Rhinolophus ferrumequinum: one gene and its partner. The protein of the gene in region 1 interacts with the protein of each later gene in a pairwise test. Links are inferred from orthologs where the notes say so. Each region holds a gene or a part of one and is shown on either strand. Other genes may lie near its edges.

Region 1 (10,219 bases):
AGACAGTCTTGAGTTCAAATCCTCATTTTGCCATTTGCAACACGATTTTAGACAGCGATTTGGTCTCGTTAGTTTTCTCACATAACAAACTGAGATAACAAAATTATTTACCTCTTCAGATTGTTGAAAAAAATTAGAGACAACAAACATAAAAGTGCTTGGCAACATGCTGAATAAATGGTAGCAATTAATCTGGTTTCCACCAATGTCCTTTCACAAAGAGCATGTCACCTTATGTTCACCTACAATAAAGTATGTTTTAGGCTTCTGACTACATCAAGAGCAGAAGAGCATTGGTAATAAAAGAATATATTTGGGGTAGGAGATAACTGTAGGTAATAGAAAACTTTTCTTTATCCATACCCACTCTCTAGTCAATTATACCTAGGCCTATGATTTCAAATTTCATTTCTGATGAGACCCTAAATTCTCCAGCTCCAATACTTCCTCTGAACACCAAACTATATATCTAGCTGCCCATTCAATATCTTCATGAGATGTCTAATAGGCACATCAAATTCTAAAATAAAACTCTTGATTTTTCCCTCATAAAAATAATTTTTCATCTCCACAAATGGCAACTCCATTCTTCCACTTGTTTGGTATAAAATCTTGCAATCATTGTTTAAAACGTAGACAGAGTTTAGCTCCTTCTAGCCAGCTCCTGCCACCATCACCCATGGTACTATCTTTTCCTTGGGATTTCTGCACTGTCCCCTGACTAGTCATTCTCCTTGTACTGCTGCACTGTTGCACTTGGTCCTCTGCACAGCAGAGTAGTCCTTCTTAAAACAAAAGTCAGAACTCGTCACTTCTCTGCTTTCAAAATCTTCCAGTGACTTTCCATCTCACAAGAAGAAAAAGGCCCTTCACATTTGGTCCCTGGCTCCCTCTCCTGACTCTCCTTTGTTTACTTCATGCCAATCAACTGGCATCATTTTTATTCCTAGAATACAGCACACTTGCTTTTACCTTTGTTCCTTTGTGCTTGACATTCCCTGTGCCTGGAATGCTCCTTCCTCTGATAATTGCACACTCACCCATTCACTTCACTTAGTTTTCTGCTCACACGCGTTACCTAAACTGAGCAGCCTTCTCTAAACACCCTATCTAAAATAACATACATTTTCAATCCCCTCTCTGCCTTATTGTATGTCATATCGTTTACCTGACTTGTTAGCAGTTAGGTGTGGTCAGATGCCCAAGTTCTGGCCAATGGAGTATGACTGGAAGTGATGAGTGCAAATGCCAGGACAAGTCCTGAAACAGCAGGTATAAGCCCTCAATTTCTCCTCCTTTCTAGCCCAGTGGCTGTAATCTGGATGTCATGGCAAGAGCCTAGAAAAGCCATCGTAGACCACCAGCTGGAAGATGGGTGTTGAGACACTAGAGAAATCTGAGTTCTTGATATCTTATCAGCTCTAGAGTGCTTACATTTGAATGGCCACATAAGAGAGTAAATTTTTTATCTTGTTTAAGCCTTTTTCATATATTTTCTAAGCCTTTTGTTTAAGCCTTTGCTATAGAAGTGAAACTATATTCTAATACAGACATGTTATTTTTTTGAAAGTCTGACTGCCCTCCCAACCCCCACCTGAAATGGGACTGGAATGTAAATTCCATGATAGTGGAAGCTCTGTTTGGTTCACTGTAAATAGCTTCTTGAACAGTGCCTGGCACAGTAAGCATTCAGTAAATGTTTGTCGAATGAACGAATGCAAAACCATCAACATAATGCAAGGCCTTGAGTGCTGCCCTGAGGAAGCACATGGCTGGTCAGTATAAGTAAGTAGAGCTATATGCTCTGTGTGTGGCTGCTTTTCTGTTCTGACTGAATCACAGAGGCAGGATACAACCTGCTATTTCCATTATCTGAGAGGCATAAATACTTGTAAAATGGTTGTGTGTTTCTTTTGTAATTTAAATGAAGACTCCCAAATAAAGTTCATGGTTCTAATGAAATCGGGTCACAGAGTCATGGAAAACTGTGACAAGGTTCATACTGATGAGGGAAGGTCACAAGTCGCATGCTAAGCACAGATGGAGAAAAGGAGCTTGTGTGCTGAGATCCTGAGATGTGTGGCCAAGATGTGCATCAGTCTGGATGGCAAAAGCTGATAGCTGAAAGAACCACAGACAAAGAATTGCACAAGCAGAGTCAAAATGAAACAGAGACATATCACAGGGTATCAGCAAGACGCTTGGGGGTAAATGCTACAGACATAAAGCCACTGAGTTTCTGGGTAAGAACATAAAAGGTTATAGTATAGTGCCAGGATAATATTTTTGTTATCAAAAATCTTTTTCATGCTGTGAAGATCATTTTGAACACCTTAAAAACATAGATCTGTTAATGCAAACAACTTGAAACATCATGGTGGCTTTAAAAATATATATAGGAATGACATCCTGTGGGCCCAGGACTAAGCCACCTTGACTTTGAAATGTTCTATTTCCTGGGTGATGAAAGTTGCAAAGGTGTAGGCTATCTTGCCATACCACACCCCTGGGTGTAATATTATTGAAATAAAACAAGTCAAGATTTGTTTAGTTATTTTACAATATATATGTAACTTCTGGTAACAGTTACTGGTATGAGGTTTTTCTTTGTTGACTAATTAGCTAGAAAGTTCAAGAGAGCTTTCTTAATAATGTGCCTCTTTGCTCAAGAATTTCTTAGTAATGTCTCCTTTTTAGAAACATATTACCACTTATATTCAAAGTAGAAGGGCAGCTTTTAGATTATGACAAAGCACTGAAAATTAGTACAATAGTTACTTCTTTGTCCCTACCTCCCTCTTGTGCCTAATTATTGCTTGAATTTTGGGGAGGCCTCTCATCTTGTACACTGGATATATTAGGATGACTGAAGGGTGAGGTAACAATACATGCCACCTTTATATGGTGGCTCATTTATCTGAGGATTTCACGTTGTAGCCACACTGTCATTTCCGATAGGTTCCAGAATATTGAAAATGAAAGTGATCAAAATACGATCTCATTTAAAATCCCTCCGCTGGAAGAATCAAGGCTTTTCCACATTGAGTGCTTTTTTTTTGGTCCAAGGGACTTAAAGTTTCTCTTCAGTGAGCATGGTGGGTGAGGTGCCCTTTTACTGGAGGTGATGGGACAGGTCCCCACCTTTGATAATTTTTATCATAATTTTCAAATGAAGTAATTTGTGCACAGAAAGGCCTTGTAAATCACAAGGATGTAAACAAATACATACCGTGCTTCCCCGAAAATAAGACCTAGCCGGACCATCAGCTCTAATGCGTCTTTTGGAGCAAAAATTAATATAAGACCAAGTCTTATATAAGATAAGAGCCGGTTTTACATTAATTTTTGCTCCAAAAGACTTAGAGCTGACTGGCTGGCTGGGTCTTATTTTCGGGGAAACACAGTAGGTTATTATTACTAGCATTGTGATAAAAACAACTTCTGTTAGGAAAGGAGGCAGCTTAGCGTAGGGTATAAGAATTCCAGGCTGGAAGCCCTAGACTTTAAGAACCTGAGGAAGGGTGGGCCCATCCTTGTAGAGGGAAAGATGGAAGTCATTTTCAGGGAGAATAGTGTGTGTGGGGGATCCCAGGTTTGAAGATGACCCTATTATGACTCCTGTAGTTGGGAAGTCCACATTCACTGGAAGAGTGGTTTAATTTTATAGTAGCTGCTGCCTGGAGAAGACCCATGCGTGGTGCCACAATGTGAAACTTCAAAAACAATGTAGGCCAATAGATTGCTTTCACTGGGTGGCTCAGATAATGAACCCTAATTTTACTGAGACAGTTCACTTAATTGAAGAGAGGATTATGTTTAGTAACCTACATATGTCATTAATCAACTCTTTTAAAAAATAAAATAATAGGAAGCTACTATATTCTCATCGCTTCTGGAAGTCTTTGCAAAGGTGCTAATTGTGGAGTAAATAAGCCTCATTTTTAGAATCTTACTGAAATGCAAAACTTGCTTTCCTTGTGCTGTTTCCCTGTACACTCAACACAGTGTTTTGGAAACCTGCAGTTATCTAAATTCCCATCGGGTGACATTGTTTAATCTAACATTCCCTCTTTCATATATGAAAAATAGCTCTAAGGACAATCCACTGAGAGGCTTTGAACTCTCTTTATGGTGGTTGGGACGGATTTTCCAATCCCACCCCCTTTCCTCTGATGGTTTATTCTGCCCACTCCTTTCCCCACCCTCACCGCTGGTCAGGAGAGCCTCTGGCTGCTCCCCTTCTCCCCCAAGCAAGGGCTAATCAGGGGAGAGTCGTTGACCTTGGCGAAAAAAGCACTGGTCTAATCACTGAGCTTATTAGGGCACGGGAGTCTAGAAGCATAAAAGTTACTTCCAATGAATTTTTTTTTTTTTTTTGGTGTGTAAAATTAGGTCTCTGATGTTGAGAGGAAAAGACTATTATTGCTTTAAAATAATGACTAAACCTATTTTCAAATATTGTGGTGGAAGTATGAAAACAGAATCCTTCACCCTAAAAAGGCTGCAAAAAATGTTATTTTACTTTGGAGACAGTAGTAACTGAAAATAACAACAGGTTTCTTTCAGGTCATATCTTAAAAGGGTAGCTGCTTTTCATGTCTTAGGGTTGTACAAAGGTCTTTTTAAAAGGACCCCCCAATCCCTGCTTTCTGAAGGCCTTAGAAAGATGAACACATTTGTCTTAAAAACCGAGGTGCCTCCCTTTTAAAAAACAACCGGCTGCACTCTCTTCCTCAGTCACATTGTCACATCACTCATCTAAGTTATACTTTATAAACTGCCTTGATATGCTACACACATGCAAAAAGTACACAAAGTGGATAAACTTCTGTCGATGCTGCGGTAGAGGTATATATTTAGTAATCAGTTACATTATTTTTGTGAAATGAGAGCTGATCGACCAAACCTTTCAAACAGACCCACCAGACGATAAATACCACCATATGTTTGATTCACAGTACATTTGAGCATAAACACTTCAATTACAGCTTTGTGTTTAGTATCAAAAACCATTTCTTGTGTGCGTGTTTTCCCTACAGAGTCCCTGCTCTGGATTACATTTTGAAAATCGCTTATTTACAGATAAAGCACCTTTGCAGGTACGCTTCCGACAAACATATGTATTTATGCACACAAAGGTGTGTGCACATCTTTTCACAAACAAATGTCCATATGATGCCTGCATCGCGCTCCACGCACATGCCCACCGAGTGTGTGTGCTCAGCCGCGCAGCCCGGATGCCGGCGGGGACAGGCTGCCCCCCAACACGCTGGAGCCCTGCCGGCCACCCCAGCAAACTTAACCAGCGTTGCCACATTGGCTACGGCGCGAGCCTCCCCGCCCCCACTGGGCCTCGGGCGGCGCAGCCCACACCCACCCAAGCCACCCAGCCGCGCGCGGCGGTGGGGGCAGGGCGGACAGTACCCGCGAGGCGCCTCGGAGCGCCCGCGGGTTTTTCTTTATTTTTAAAAGACTGCGCCGCACACGCCCAGCCCCCAGCACCGCCGCGGCGGGCGGGCGGGAGGGAAGGAGGGAGAGGAGCGAGGCCGGCGGAGGCACCCCCCCGCGCCGCCGCCTCCTCCCCGCGTCCGCGGCGCCCCTCCCCCGCGGGCCCCTCCCCCGCGCGCCCGCCCGGCGCAGGCCGCTCGGGTTTGTTTTGCTGCGCGGCCGCCGCTGCCGCGGGCCTCGCGAGCTCATTTGTGCCTGGCTGGTCCCCATTCCTCTCTCCCCAGTGTTGAGTGTCTGAGCCGTTGGCTGCTCCGAACCGTTTGGCTCTTTCCCTTAGTAACAGCTTTTACCTTCTGCCTCAATTCCTCTCCCCGCTCGCGCCCTTCCCCCGCGCGCCGCCTCCCCCCGCCGCCGGCCGCGTGCGCCCCCGCCCCTCCCCCCTCGGCGGGAGCACCTCCGCTCGCCACCTGGGGACCCGCGCCGCGCTCCCCGCCCCCGCCCGCCCGGCGCCCATCCCCCGCGCCCTCCGCTCGCCGGGGTTATAATTGCCTCTCACCCCCCGGAGGGGTTATTTTGGGGGTGGTTGGAGGCGGCGGCGGCGGCGGCGAGGAGGGGAATTTCCTTGTGCCTCCATTCCTGGGAGGGGGGAGCGGCGTCGGAGGCCACCGTTTCCAGGTAAGCGCTGGGGGCCGGACCCTGGGGTGGGGGCGACCGCGGTCCCGGGCTGGGGGCGCGGGCGGAGGCGGGCGGCCGGTGGGCGCCGGGCCGTGGGGGGGATGGGCGCAAGTGGAACATGCATTTTTCAACTTGGCCCTTTAGGGAGCTGGGGTTTGGGTGGGGGAGGGGAAGGCAGGGAAGGCATTTAGGGTGCCCCATCCCCCTTTTCCTCTCTCAGGCTTCTTTGAAATGCTCACGTGCCTGCCCAATCCCTACCCTTTCCTGGTCTTGGGGATCCTTACCCTTATTATGTTGTCCCCGAAAATGTGCACCTCGGCCTTCTCCCCCTCTTCCACCCTTCGTGCATTTACACCCCCTTTTTGTGTGTGTGTATGTGGGGGAAGGCTTTCAGGAAAGAATTTGCAGCAAATTGAATCAAGGAGCCATCATGAGGCCGACTCCTTTATAGCCTATTTTTAGCAGAGGAGAGGGATCTTTTCCGTGCATGTTATTTTGTTAAACCTCAGGCAGCAATGGAAATCTGCTCCCCTCCTTGGGCGCGTCCCGGGCCCAGGCGCGGCGACCCTAGCTGGCGTGCGGGGGGCTGCGGGCGGCTGTTGGGGCCGCGGGACCCGAGCGGGGGAGGGGCGCGGGGCCGCACTTCAGGACGTGTTTATTTGTAACTTAGTGCTTTTTATCGTCCTAAGGAGGTATTTGATAGAGTCACTTTGAAGTTGGGTTCAGAAGTGTAGAATTGGCAAAGTTATTGCCAGCTTCCTGGTAAGTTTTGGGTGGCAGAGTCACATTATTTTCTGACAGTGTAAAGGCCACGTTGTGAGGGTGGTTTCTCGGTAACTTCCTCTTTGCAACCGATGTCATTTTTTGAACAGAAGCAGACTTTTATTTAAGTGAAATATTAGTCTTAAGTGGCAGCTCGAGGGAAGCCATGCATGTGTTAACATGTTCAGTATTTTTGGAAGTTCCTAATTTGCTGAAACAGGCATCACTTTGCAGTGGCAACCGAGATTAAATTTAGGTTGCGAAAATGGTGTGTTTCGTGTAAAATTTGGCTTGTAAGAACTCTTTAAAAATGCTCCTGTTGTTTGGTTATAAGATTTCGAAAATAATTTGGTGATTATAAATGACAGGGGTCGGAACCTAGTTAAAAACTGGATTTCCACAGTGCCTGGAATTTACTTAAAACCTTGGACTGTGCAGGCACCAAGGTGAACAGTTTTAGTACCTCTGTGATTTACAGTTGACTTGGGGAAGTTTACTATTGGCTTTCTTGTTTTCCAAACAAGCACATTATGTTGATCTAAACAAGCTTGTTAATAAAATATGGTGGGTGAATTGGGTTATTTGTAGTTAAAGGGTTTACCCCTCCCCCCATGTAATTAAGTAATCATCTTCCTCCCTCTTTTTTCCTAAAGACTCCTTTGTCAGATTGGAAAATATGAGGCCCTGGTGGTGTTTTTATCTACTTACCTAAAACAAGTTGTAATAAATATCCTGGTTACACATTGAAGATACAGTGAGTGACTCTTTGGCTTTTCCAGTGTGGTTTATTTTCATTTTTGTTAAACCAGGCCCATGCTGTATTAGTGTGTTTTAGTAATCCTAACTTCCTGGGACTGTATGTTCTCACCATTTTAATAAGTTCATGGTCAAGGGAAATAGAGCTGCTTTGTCTCCATGAAAACGGTGTGTGTATGTTGGGTTGTGTCATGGGAGTTCATGGCAAGCAAGCCTCAGAAATTATCATTGAGAATTCTAGAAATAGTTAGCATTTACCTGTGTAGGAGGGGTGGTAGATAGAAAATATGCCTGAGAGTGTGGTTAGGCATGTGATACATTGTTTAAACTTTTTGCTCTTAAATTGAGGTTTTCCTGTTTGTTTGGAATATGATTTTTTCCCAGTTCTTTTATCATGCACTATTTATGTATGTAATAACAACCATTAAATCCATAAATAAATACTGTTTTTTGCCATATGAGTAGTTAGAATCAGATCTATAGGACAAAATACTAAACTATATAGAGGGGTGAAAACATATTTACATGGAAAAAGTTTTTCCTACTATTAAGGAACTTAAGTAAGGGACTTGTAAACGGCTTAAAAATTGTTGTAAAGCTCACCATCTTATGGAGGACGTTTTTCTTCCAACAGACACCAACTTTGGTTGTTAATATGGTGGAGACTCGCAGTAAATGGAGTGACTCCTTGTGGAGGTTGTATTTTTGCATTGGTTGCTTAAAAGAAGCCTTAAATCTTAAACATTTTAATAACTTCACAGGTGTCCAGGAATCTTTTTGTTACTTGTGTTCTCAACATCTAATTAAGGTTATCCTGATTACCATGATACATACCTACCAAGAGAACAAGAAGTAACTGCTTCCTGTGTACTGGGAGCTTTTGAAGCTAAGAGGCAGAAAAGACAGAAGCTTAATGTAAACATAGGGGTTACTGATAAAAAGAGATGTGGCTAATGGACCTTTTGAAGGAGACAACCTGTTGAATAAATATATCTGTTCGTATATTGCAATGATATATAAGTACAGTCTTGTCAAGTGAGTAGCTTGACAAAGGAATCCTACAGAAAAGGAATTTGCTACAGCAGTATTACTACAAAGAATTTCTGATTTGACACATTGGATGAAGTTAGTAGAAATAATTTGTTAGGTTTGTTCAGTTTCTGTGTTGTTTATATAAAATGAGAGGAATGTGAATGGTAGTAGTCAAGGGACAGAGATGGCAGAAATATTAGCACTGTTTGGGGCTTGGTATTTTTCTAGTTCATGTGAGTTTAACTTCACAAATAACATATAGTGTAAGTCACTATATGCAAAAAATAGAAAGCAAAAAAAATAGAAATGCAGAAAAAGAAAGCAGCTAACATGGAGACATTTATGCATTCCCATAGTACAGAAGGGCTAGGCTCCCAGGGCTGTATAATAAAGAATTGGGAAGAGCATGGTCCAGTTTGGAGACCACCATAGTGGTATCTTCTGCTCTATCACCAACAGAAACTTGAATTCAGACAGACAAACAAACAAACAAACAACTGAGAGCTGATGATGGTGGAGAGGTTTATTCACCACCTCTGGTATTGGACTCCATAAGAGTACAATGAGTTGGCCTGTTACAAAGAGCCAGAAGAAAGGGACTCTGCTTGGGCTGGGGAGCTAGGAAAGGTGTGAGTTACTTTCTGCGTCATTTATACCTCAGACTAATCCTATGAGGTGGGTGGTATTGGGTTCTTTCTGTGCGTGATGACACAGAGCCATGCAGAAAAGTTAATTCACTTGTCCAAGGCCACCAAATGACCAAATGATGCACTGCAATTCAAACTTAGGTCTGTGTGAGCCCTAGTCCAAATTTGTAGATGACTTTTGCAGTGCCAAAATTTTCCAGCTGTTTTGTCAGTCTTGTCTGTAGATATGCTTGCAAAAACGAGTGTTTTTAATCAAGTTTATAATTCAGAAGTTGGGTGTCTCTGCTAACCGGGTCAAGTGATTGCATGGATAAATGAAATTCATGTGATGCAAACATCAGTGTGCTTAAACTCCGTTACAAGTGTTTAATTAGATGCAGTCTTGTCAACTGCTATATTTTTTACCTTAAGATTGAAAGAGGTGAAGTAGCCTCTCCAAGTACTGCCCACAGAAATAAAATAAGAAGGTAAAGCAAATAAGAGTATGCCCAACTATCCTCCAAGTAGATATTCTTGAAAACTTGTATAAGAAAAATCATGTTTTGTGTAGCATAGTGATTCCGTCTGGGGTCCTTGAGGCAGATTGCCTGGGTTCCAACTCAGGCTCCATTCCTTACTACTGTGTTTCCCTGAAAATAAGACCTAGCGGGACGATCAACTCGAATGCGTCTTCTGGAGCAAAAATTAATATAAGGCCCGGTCTTTATAATATAATATAATACCAGGTCTTATATTAAATTTTGCTCCAAAAGGTGCAATAGAGCTGATTGTCTGGCTAGGTCTTATTTTTGGGGAAATAGGGTGGTATGTGTGACCTCAGGGGAGTAACTCCTGCTGTGTCTCAGTTTCCTCCTCTGTGTCATGGGGACAGTTGACTTTGTGGAGTGTGAGGATTGAGA
Region 2 (10,151 bases), on another chromosome or scaffold:
GCCTGTTGTCCCTGCGTAATTATTAACAAGCCCCGCTCTCACTTTCAAAAGTGCCCTTGTTTTCACCTAAATGCAGTATAGGGAACCTAGATCAAATCCTGGAACAGAAAAAGGACATCAGTGTAAAAACTGGAGAAATCCAAATGTAATCTGTCGTTTTTTAAGAGTAACTTTTCAATGTTAATTTCTTAGTTTTGACAAATATACGGTGATTATGTGAGAGGTTAACCCTGGGGAAGCTGGGTGAAGGATATACGGGGTCTCTCTTCATTATCTGCAACTTTTCTATAAATCTAAAACTTTATTTAAAGAAAAGTGTTTGGGCCAGATAAGAAATATCACCCTACAATGCCCATCTTAGAGATGAGAAGTGGAGGTTCAGAGAGGTTAAGTGCCTTGCCTGCGGTCACACAGTTTAGAATCTGACTCCTGAGCTAGGTTCCGCTGCCTCCAAAGCCTCACACGCTGGCCTGCAGTCCTCCTCCCTAAAGCCTGATTCAAGGTGTGGAAACTTAAGCTCAGGGTGGTGAAGCAGTGACCTCACAGGGACGTGAACACAGATCTCAGTCCACAGCGTGTCCTGCCTGTGGCACCACGGGCCTCCCAGGACTAGGTATACAGGTTGTCTCTCTGCCTCCCCAAGGGTGCTGGGCATGTGGTGAGGGCTCAGGGAAGGAAGAGACCCTGCCATAGGTGTCTCTCTGGGGTCATGGAGCCCTCAGGGAATCTGCTGAGGAAGGTGTCCACACATCCACGTATGTGCACAAAGTGTCGGGGCCTGAATACAGGTGGGAGCCCGGCTCCCCCCACAGCCCCCCTCAGCCAGGCCCCCTGCCCACCTCTTCCACCAACAGGTTCTGGAGCTCCCGCTGGCAGTCCTGCATGCGCTGGCGGTCGGCGCTGTCCACCACCCAGATGAGGCCATCGGTGCTCTCAAAGTAGTTCCGCCAGTAGGACCGCAGGGACTTCTGGCCGCCCACATCCCAGATGTTCAGCTTGAATCTGGGCAGGGAGGGGTGGCTGGAAGGTCAGCCTGGCCCCTCGCCCACCCTCCCCACCCTGCTCTGGGCTGCCCGCCCGCAGGGACCCTGCTCACCCCCGGTGTTCCAGGGTCTTGATGTTGAAGCCCAGCGTTGGGGAGATGGTGTCAATGTCTTCTCCATTGAACTTCTTGAGGATGGTTGTTTTGCCAGCGTTGTCCAGGCCGCTGGGGCGCGCCAGGTTAAGGAGAAACCCCCATGCTCTGCAGGGTGGTGAATCATCACAGTGCCCCTCTCTTAGGGGATAAATAATTTCCTACCACCTATCAAAATCAGTGGAGCACATGCCTGACCCATAATCGGCCCAGGATAAATGTGAAAGTATCAAGAAACATATCTTATCATCTCCTGCTGACCAAAGACTCCTGAATTCACTCCGCAATATTTATTGAATACCTTCTCAATGCCAGGCCCTCTTCTGGTGCTGGGGGACCCCGGAGTCAAAGTCTTACCTGTGTGCAGCTTACATTCTAGTGCAGAGACAGTCGACAGGGTACAAACCAAGGAGAAACAAGGTACTATCAGGTCCTGGTGCGTGTTAGAAATACAAGGAGGAGGCTTTCAGAGAGGGCCATCACATCGGAGAAGCTTCCTTCAGCTTGGGTGCCAGGAAAGACCTCTCTGAGGGTTTTGAGCTGAGGTCCAATCTACAAGGCGCCAGCTTTTTGAAGCATTGGGGGAAGAGTGTTCTAGACAGAGGGAACAGCAAGAGCAAGTGTCTGGAGGCAGCGGGTGACCTTGTTTCAGGACTCTTCCAAACCCTGCTGCTGAGTGAGTGTACAAACAAGTGCGTGAGCTCACCAGCCAGAGAGAACCACCCTCCTCTTTCCTTCTAGCACTTAAGGGGTCTGCAGCTGGGAGGGGGGCCCAGGCCTTAGACTCAGTAACCTTTTCCTCACCTGACATGGGTGATTCAAACTAGTGACGTGGGGGTGACAGAGCACCTCTCCTGAGACTCAGACTTAGCCCCTGCTCATTGGCTGCTGACTATTCCCTGACCCCTAACTCCACCATTCACATTTCCTTCCCCACTGGATCATTCCCCTCAACTGATACCCTCTGGCGTCTCTCCCCCCTTAGAAGCAGCAAACATCATCCTCTCTATCCCTCCCCCCCTTACTTATTCCTTTATTTCCCCCCTTTACAGCAAATCCATACTCCTGTGTCCACACTCATCCTCTCCAATTTCTGTCCTCCTGCTCTTTCTTGAACCCATGAGGCTTTTGCTCGCCCTGCTTCCCCACAACTGCTCTTGCCAATGTCGGTCCCTAAGGACCCCCATGTTGCCCTCCAAGGGCTGGGCAGTCCTCAGTCCTCATCCTTCTGCTCCACCAGCAGCACCTGACCGAGTAGCCTGTGCCTTCCTCCACTCCAGGACACATCTGGCCACTCCTCATCTCCCTGACCTCCTGAACTAGGAACACCTCGGTTCCCTCGTCTGTCCACGCTTTTGATGATCTCATCTAGGATCACAGCTTCAAATACCATCTTTATGCTGATGACTCCCAAATGTATATGTCTCACCCAGCTGCCAAAAGTGAACTCCCATCTTCCCTTTGAACTTGCTCCCTGCCCGCTTCTCTATCCAAGCAAATGGCTCCTCATTCTTCTAATTGCTCAGGCCAGAAACCTAGCAGTCATATTTGACTTCTCTCTCTCTCTCTCTCTCTCTCTCTCTCTCTCTCTCTCTCCCCAGCAATTCCTGCTGGCCTACTGTCAAAATGCCCCCAACTTCCATCACCTTGAGCCACCATCTATCTCACCTGGTTTGAGCCACCATCCTATCTCATCCGCGATACTGCAGTGGCCTAACTATTCTCAGAGCACATCTCCCCTCCACACTTCTCATTTAAAGGAAAAGCCAAGAAGCGAAAGGTCCTACAGTGAGGCCCTTCCATCACCCTTCTGTCCTAACCTAGTACTCTCCTCCTGCCACACTGCCCTCCTTAACATTCCTTTGAAGACCCTCTTGAGTTCATCCTTCCAGGCATTTGCATTTGCTGTTCCCTTTGCTTAAACAATTTCCCCCAGATATCTACATGATTCGGTCCCTCACCTCCGATTCACTCTTAACGTGGCCTCTTTAACCCCCTTATTTAAATGCATCCTCCTCCATACATACGATATATTTTACTTATTTGCTTTGTTAACATCTTTCTCCTTCCAGCATTATATAATGTCCATGAAGGAAGGGGTTGTTTTTGTTTTGCTGTTTTACCCCAGCCCCTAGGACAGTGCCTAGCACAGAGTAGGTGCTCAAAAAATATTTATTGGATGAGTGAATTCTCTGAGCCTTTCAAAGAACTCTTTAAACAGACATGATGTGAATATTATTGGAGTTATTTGTGCACGTGTCTTCTCTCCCTGCTAGGGGAGCTGGGGGTGAGGGCAGCCCAGCTCTTGGATGGCAGAGTCCACGCGGGGCCTGGCACAAAGTAATACAGACGCCTGCTAATGGGACTCGGAAGGTCGGCGGGGCCCTCGGGCCTACAACCCGTCAGCCAAAAACCACGGGGTCGTGCAGCAGCAAACAAACACGACTACTGGACCCACTGGCGAACGAACCCACCGAGGCCACACACGCCTCTCCCGGGAGCTGAGGACGGTGCCCTCACGCCCCCGGGATTCCGACCTTGAGGGCGGGGCCCGGGCCTGAGGCCGGCCCCCACGGGCAGGGGGAGGAGGTTAGAGCCCAGGAGAACCGAGGCCCCAAGCCTGGGCCAGACCAAAGGGTGGTGTGGCGTCAGAGTCACCTCCAGGACCCACTTCCCCTCTACACCGGGGCACCTGGTGCGGCCGCTGCGCCATGAGGCTCACACCTTTGCCTTGAAAACGGATTTCCCCCGCCCCGAGTCGATGGTACGGCCTCCTCCCGGGCCCCCGCCGCAAGTGATTGGTAGTCCCCACGTGCGTGACGCACAATGGGCAGTTGGGACGGGCCGGCCGGCCGCTCACCCTGCGCCCGGTAGGGGGCGCCTGGTGCCGCCTGCCCGGCGGGGCCCCGCTACCCTGGCCGCTTCTGCGTCCGGGAGGATACAGCATGAGTAGTCGCAGCTCCCGCTCTTTCTGCTTCATCTTCTTCAGGATGGTCAGAAGGCCCATGGTCCCCGTAACCCCCTCCTGGCCGCCGTTGCTTCCTAGTCCCGGGACCCCTCGCCCTGCTCCTATTGGCTATCACGCCCACTGACAACACAGCCTATTGGCGGGCCCCTCGCTTGGTCCCGCCCTCATTCCCACGTGACCGCGAAGTCACCCATTGGTGCCTCTGCGAAGGTCCCTCTAGCGGTGATGGGGACTTCTGCGCTAACTCTTCACCAACCTGCAGTTAACCCTTCGCATACCGAGGGCTTGAAGGACGAGAGCACCGCCATTCCTTCCTCTCCAGGACCCCAGGCTCAAATGGGAACGGAAACCTGAAGTTCCTGGATTGTGTTTTGGCTGCATAGGAAGTAAGAAGAGGCAGGAGTCAGAACCAATGGAGAGCCCCAAGATTGTTGATGAGTTTATCCTTTGGCCAGTGTAAGGCTCTGTGGAGACAGAGTCCCAGAGAGCAGTTTCCAGGCTCTTGGTCTCACGTGGAAAGGTGCTGGCTTGGTTATTAGATGGCCATCAGCTATAATCAGATGGGCATTAGCTGTTACCGATTAGCCATCAGCCACTAATATAACTGTCCTCGCTCCGCAAAGGGGTTGGTTGGCAGAGAAGTGACTTCGGATTGTGGTTGGCAAGTGCGGTTAGCAAGCAGATGGATTGCGGATCGTGTGAATCCTACTTCCAGTGTCTCGCCTGGCTGCCAGAGAGAGGGGTGCAGGAAGACCCCGCATTGGGGTACTGGTGGATGTTTGCTTTTGTGTCTCAACCAGCCGCCATTGAGAATATAGTGGTATGACTCCCCTATCTATGGCTCCGTTGGTGCTCCTTTTCGGCCTCACCATATCCTGCGTTTTTGTGTGGGGCACGGGACCAGCAGCTCTGCTCCCTGAAAACATGGTCCAGATCCTCCTCATCTTGGTTGGACCTAGGGTGTCATCCTGAACCTGCCAGTTACAAGGCCTCCCCCTTTCCCTGGCACCTGGAGTCATAGAGGGAGGGCGGGGGTTCTCCATCAAGGGAGAAAATGCCATGAAGGGCGTTTTCAAAATGTGACAGGGCATCATTGGGTTGTCCCAATTACCAGGGAGGTCCCTGTCACTTAGAGGGCGGGGTACAGACCTGCACAAAGAATTATCCCACCCAATGTGCCCATCATTTGTCTATTTCTTTTGCAGATGAGAAAGTTAAGGCTCACATGGTGCTTAGCACCCTGACTGGCATATAGTAGATATTCAAATATTTGTTGTTGAATGAATGACTTTATCCAAGAGTTTGGTTCTTTACCTTAGTGCTTGAGTCCAGAAAATAATGAGGAAACTGAGGCCAGGGACTAGGCAGAGTGTAAACTCAAAAAGGTGAGCCTTATTGTCTTATTTTGAGCCCTTTCCCCCAGCCTACCACAGGGTAAATGTGAGTGGGCAACACAGAAGGTTCTAATGCTTGGGGCAGTCAGGCACCAGCTGAAGATAATGGCTAGCTTCTGTGTGACTGTTTATAAAGTACTCCACATTTTCTACTTCATCCTCCTGACAACCCTGAGAGGTCTGTTTCCTTTTTGGAGATGTGATAGTGGAGTCCAGAGAATGAAGGAGCTGCGACAGCAATTTAAACTCAGATCTGAACTGGAAAGTGCACTGTTTTCCTGGTTCCTAAGAAATCTAAGTGCCTTCAGTGGGGATCAGTTACTTAAGCTGGGGTACATGTGTGTGTGTGTGTGTGGGGGGGTTTCATGAAACCTTTGAGAAAGGAGAGGTGGAGCTATAATGTGCCTGCGTGGAAAGATGTCCATGCCAAATTAAGTGAACTTTAGTACCATTATAATTTTTAAAATGACAATAACTCACTAAACAATGTTTTTCAAACTGTGGTATGCAGCCCCTTCAGGAGATTGTGAAATTAGTGTCACAAATACATTGAATCATATGTAATCGCCCATGTTGACTACTAAGATATCAGTCAGTTTCATGTGTTCAACCTAGAAGCACTAGCAAAAATTAAATAGAATGAACAGAACAGAAAGCATTGCTGCCTTTGCCCATTAAGTAAAAGTTTATAGTGTTTGTTAAAATGTGTTTCAGATATTTATATGGATGTATGTACTTCTCAACTAAGAGTCAGTCACAAAAATTTGAAAATCACTGCAATTCAACTGATACTTCTGGAACAGGTTTGAGGGGGACTTCAAATTATTACCTGAAGCACTTCTGGATTGTTTTACGTTACTAACTGCCATGAGCATTGAAATCCTTGTTTTAATGTCAGGCTTCCGGCCCTGCCCAGTTCCAAGCAGTTATTGCGGCTTCCCCGGGTCCACATAGTAGATAACGATGAATATCAACTGAAAAATCAACCTGGAAGCTCTGTAAAATAGTCGGAGACCAGGAAGCAGTTGTTTTGAATAATAATTGCATGTAGCTAGAAATGGGGTGGGGGGGAAGAGGGGCTTTTAAAGACAAGTGTACGTAGGAGCCTACTGGCAGGCAGTGTTTTCATTTGCCTTCTGGAAAGAAGGAAAGGGTGCTCTTAAGGAAATAAAATCTCTAGGGAATATGTTTGGAAGAAAACTGGGAAAGAAGATCTCTAGAGCTGTAGTTATATATAGCTATGAATATATATATTCACGAGAAAGAATCGTGAAATTAAAATACCCAAATCCTGAGAGCTGTGAAACCCGCTTTTGAAGGGAGAGTTTCTTAGGGCTAAGTAAGTGGATTGTAACTTGAGGATGGAGTTCTAGATGCCTTTTATTTATTTTATTTTTTATTATTAGTTTTTAAATTTTTAAAATTTATTTTAAGTGTGCTTTTCCAGGACCCATCAGCTCCAAGACAAGTAGTTGTTTCAATCTAGTTGTGGAGGGCGCAGCTCACAGTGGCCCATGTGGGAATTGAACCCATTACCTTGTTGTTAAGAGCACCTCGCTTTAACCAACTGAGCTACCCGGCTGCCCCCGGGATGCTTTTTAAAGAGGTGTGTTACCCAATGTGTGGGGAAGAAAATTTGGCATTATAGTTTTAATTTTAAGAGATATAGCCTCTTTGATCCATCCATACACTTCCTGTATCACCTTTTTAATCATAAAAGAAAAATAACAAAACTCTTTTTATCCTGGAACAACAACAACAAAGAAAGCCAGGGGAAAAGAGTGTGCCCCCTAATCCCTGGAATGGCAACTGCCTATGGACCCCAGTTCTGCCCTGGCTTGCTCTAGTGCTCCCACGCCATCTCCTTGTCTGCCTTAAGAATCCAAGGGTGGCCCTGTCCCCACTTGGTGCATACAATGAGCAAGCCACAGCTGAATGCTTCAAAGAACAAGTCAGAGTGTTCAAGCATCTTCCTTATAGGTTTCAACCCAGCTGCCTGGAGTGGGAGGCAGATGAGGTGTCCTTTCCAACTTCCAGATAACGAAATGAGCTCTTCCTCACACCCCTGTCATCCATCCAAGGGCACGTGACATCTCCAGTCTTTTTCAGAACCTGAGGAGCGGGGGAAGGACTTGGAAATCTGAGCTCTTCCAATAACACGTCCATGTTCACCTCCCCTGTGCCTGTGGCATCCTCCACAGGCTGCTCGATGCTTCCTGTCGCTACAGGGCAAGATGGGGGAGTGAGGAGGGAGTAGTTGCTGAGCCTTCACTCAGCCACCTGAGAGCCAGGTACCCTCTTATCTCCACTTGACAGATGAGCCAGGAGCTCCACTCACCGAGATGGCTAAAGCAGCCTCTCGCCGTTCCTCTTCCCCAAGGCAGAGGGACCTTTCTAACCGGTGCACCAATCTTGTCCCTCCTCCGCTTAAAGCCCTTGGCTGTGTGCTGTCCCCTGGCTGCTCCCTGTATCTTTCAGAGTCGGAGCCCGAGTTCTCCAGTGGCCAATGAGGACCTGCATGAATTGCCTTCGCAACTCTCTACTGGGAGTGCCTGCTTCTCTCCTCATCCCTTTATCAATTCTCCAATCCACCAGCGCATTCCTGCTGCCCCTAATCCATACCTCCCTGCTACCTCCCTCTCTTCAATGCTTTGCTCAAATGTCCAATATCTCAAAAAAAATTTATTGTTTCAATATCTCAGTGAGGCCCAGTCCTGACCACCCTATTTAAAGTTGAAACCACTCATCCCCCATCCACATTCCCCAAATCCTTTATTTTGGTTTATATTCATTCCCCCATGACACTTAAGGCCTCTACTAGCCTGTGTAATTCCCTTAATTGGTTACATTTATTCTCCCCATCCCTCCATCCCTACTAGAATGATAGCTCCACAAGGGTTGGGATTTGCACTCCCCCCCCCCTTAGTTTTATTGAAAAATAATTGATGTACAGCACTATACAAGGTCTGACAATTAACTTCACAAACTTGCCACCGCGCGCTTACATTGGTAGCGCTGTACACACAGCTCAGTAAGGTTTCATAACCTTGGTGTGTCAGTGTCTCACAGCTGTGTTCGTGTCGATTTGTGGCGGTGTCTTGCTGAGTGGAATTCATTATTGTGTATTTTTGTGTGCTGATACGAGAATGTTTGAGCTTGAATTAGAGCAACGAACAAACATTAAATTTCTTGTTGAACTTGGCAGGAGTGGAAGTGAAATCAGGAATATGTTAGTCCAAATTCATGGGGATAATGCCATGAAGAAAACGGCAGTGTACAAATGGATTAAACGTTTTTCTGAGAGACCGCGTCACTGACGAAGAGAGGTCAGGGTGGCAAGTAACCAGCAGAACTGACGAAAACATTGCAAAAATTAATCAAAGTGCGTCAAAATCGTCAGCTGACTGAGAAGCATAGCAGACCTTGTAAAGATTGATAGAAACAGAAAAATCTTAACTGAAAATCTTGGCATGAGAAAGGTGTGTGCAAAAACGGTCCTGAAGGAGCTCTTGCATCACGACAATGCACCAGCTCACATGGCACTGTCTGTGAGGGAGTTTTTAGCCAGTAAACATAACTGTGTTGGAACACCCTCCCTAGTGGGGACCACTGATCTGGTCCCCAGTGAGTTCTTTCTTTACCCAAAGATAAAGGAAACATTGAAAAGAAGACATTTTGATGACATTCAGGACATCAGATTAGTACGACGACAGCTCTGATGGCCATTCCAGAAAGAGTTCCAAAATTGCTTTGAAGGGTGGACTAGGCGCTGGCGTCAGTGCATAGCTTCCCAAGGGGAGTACTTTGAAGGTGACTGTAGTGATATTCAGCAATGAGGTATGGAGCACTTGTTCTAGGATGAGTTCGTGAACTTAATTGTCAGGCCCTATAAGTTTAAGACGTACGGCATGTTTTGATTTACATATCTTGTGAAATGATGACCACAGTAGATCAGAATCTAAGATCCATCTTCTCATATAGATGAGAGGTAGGAAGGCCCCACTTGGAGGCCCCACTTCTTTTCTTCTCAAAAAGAAAGAAAAAAAGGGAAAAATTTTTCTCCTTGTGATGAGAATTCTTAGGATTTATTTTCTTAACAATTTCCCTGTAGCCACAGTCATCATGCTGTACCTTCCATCACAAGTACTTACTTCTCTTATAACTGAAAGTTTGTATCTTTTGACCACCTCCCTCCGTTTCTCCTTCACCCCACTCTCTGCTTCGGATACTGGATCTTTTTTTTTTTTTTAAACATGTCTCCCAGCACCTAGAACAGGGCATACAAATACTAGATACTCAGTCAATATCTGTTGAATAAAAGAGTCAGGAGCAGTTTCTGTTAACTGCTGTTAGTTGTTCACCCAGCCAGAAAGCAGCCCTCCTGTCAGCCTATTCTTGACCACCAGGCCCCCGCCCTCTCCTCTGAGATCCCGCAGATGGCAGCTCCCAGACCAGGCCCAAACCTGATGAGCTGAGAAGGGCATCTCATAGACACCCCCTCCCAGCAGGTGTCTGGAGGGGGAGCTAAGGCCTGGAGTGCAAGGCAGGTAAGTAGCAGTGCCAGGAGAGGAGGGGAACCCAGGTCTCCTCTCATCCTCAATTCAACATGCAGCCCTTTGTTCGGGAAAAAGCCCCCTCTGTTCTCTCAAATAGC

Evidence for each region.
Region 2: the proteins of TBL1XR1 (region 1) and ARL2 interact in binary tests that used the Homo sapiens proteins (3 or more experiments, as listed by UniProt). The two-hybrid records come from large-scale screens. The link is inferred for Rhinolophus ferrumequinum from reciprocal best matches to the Homo sapiens genes TBL1XR1 and ARL2.

The regions. Positions count from the first base shown.
Region 1 is NC_046285.1:66,366,853-66,377,071, forward strand, and holds the start of TBL1XR1 (F-box-like/WD repeat-containing protein TBL1XR1), read left to right. Parts: upstream 1-5,870; 5' UTR 5,871-6,123; intron 6,124-10,219. UniProt on the Homo sapiens protein: F-box-like protein involved in the recruitment of the ubiquitin/19S proteasome complex to nuclear receptor-regulated transcription units. Plays an essential role in transcription activation mediated by nuclear receptors.
Region 2 is NC_046294.1:6,580,657-6,590,807, forward strand, and holds the start of ARL2 (ADP-ribosylation factor-like protein 2), read right to left. Parts: upstream 4,232-10,151; 5' UTR 4,143-4,231; coding exon 4,078-4,142; intron 1,208-4,077; coding exon 1,097-1,207; intron 1,003-1,096; coding exon 840-1,002; intron 1-839. UniProt on the Homo sapiens protein: Small GTP-binding protein which cycles between an inactive GDP-bound and an active GTP-bound form, and the rate of cycling is regulated by guanine nucleotide exchange factors (GEF) and GTPase-activating proteins (GAP).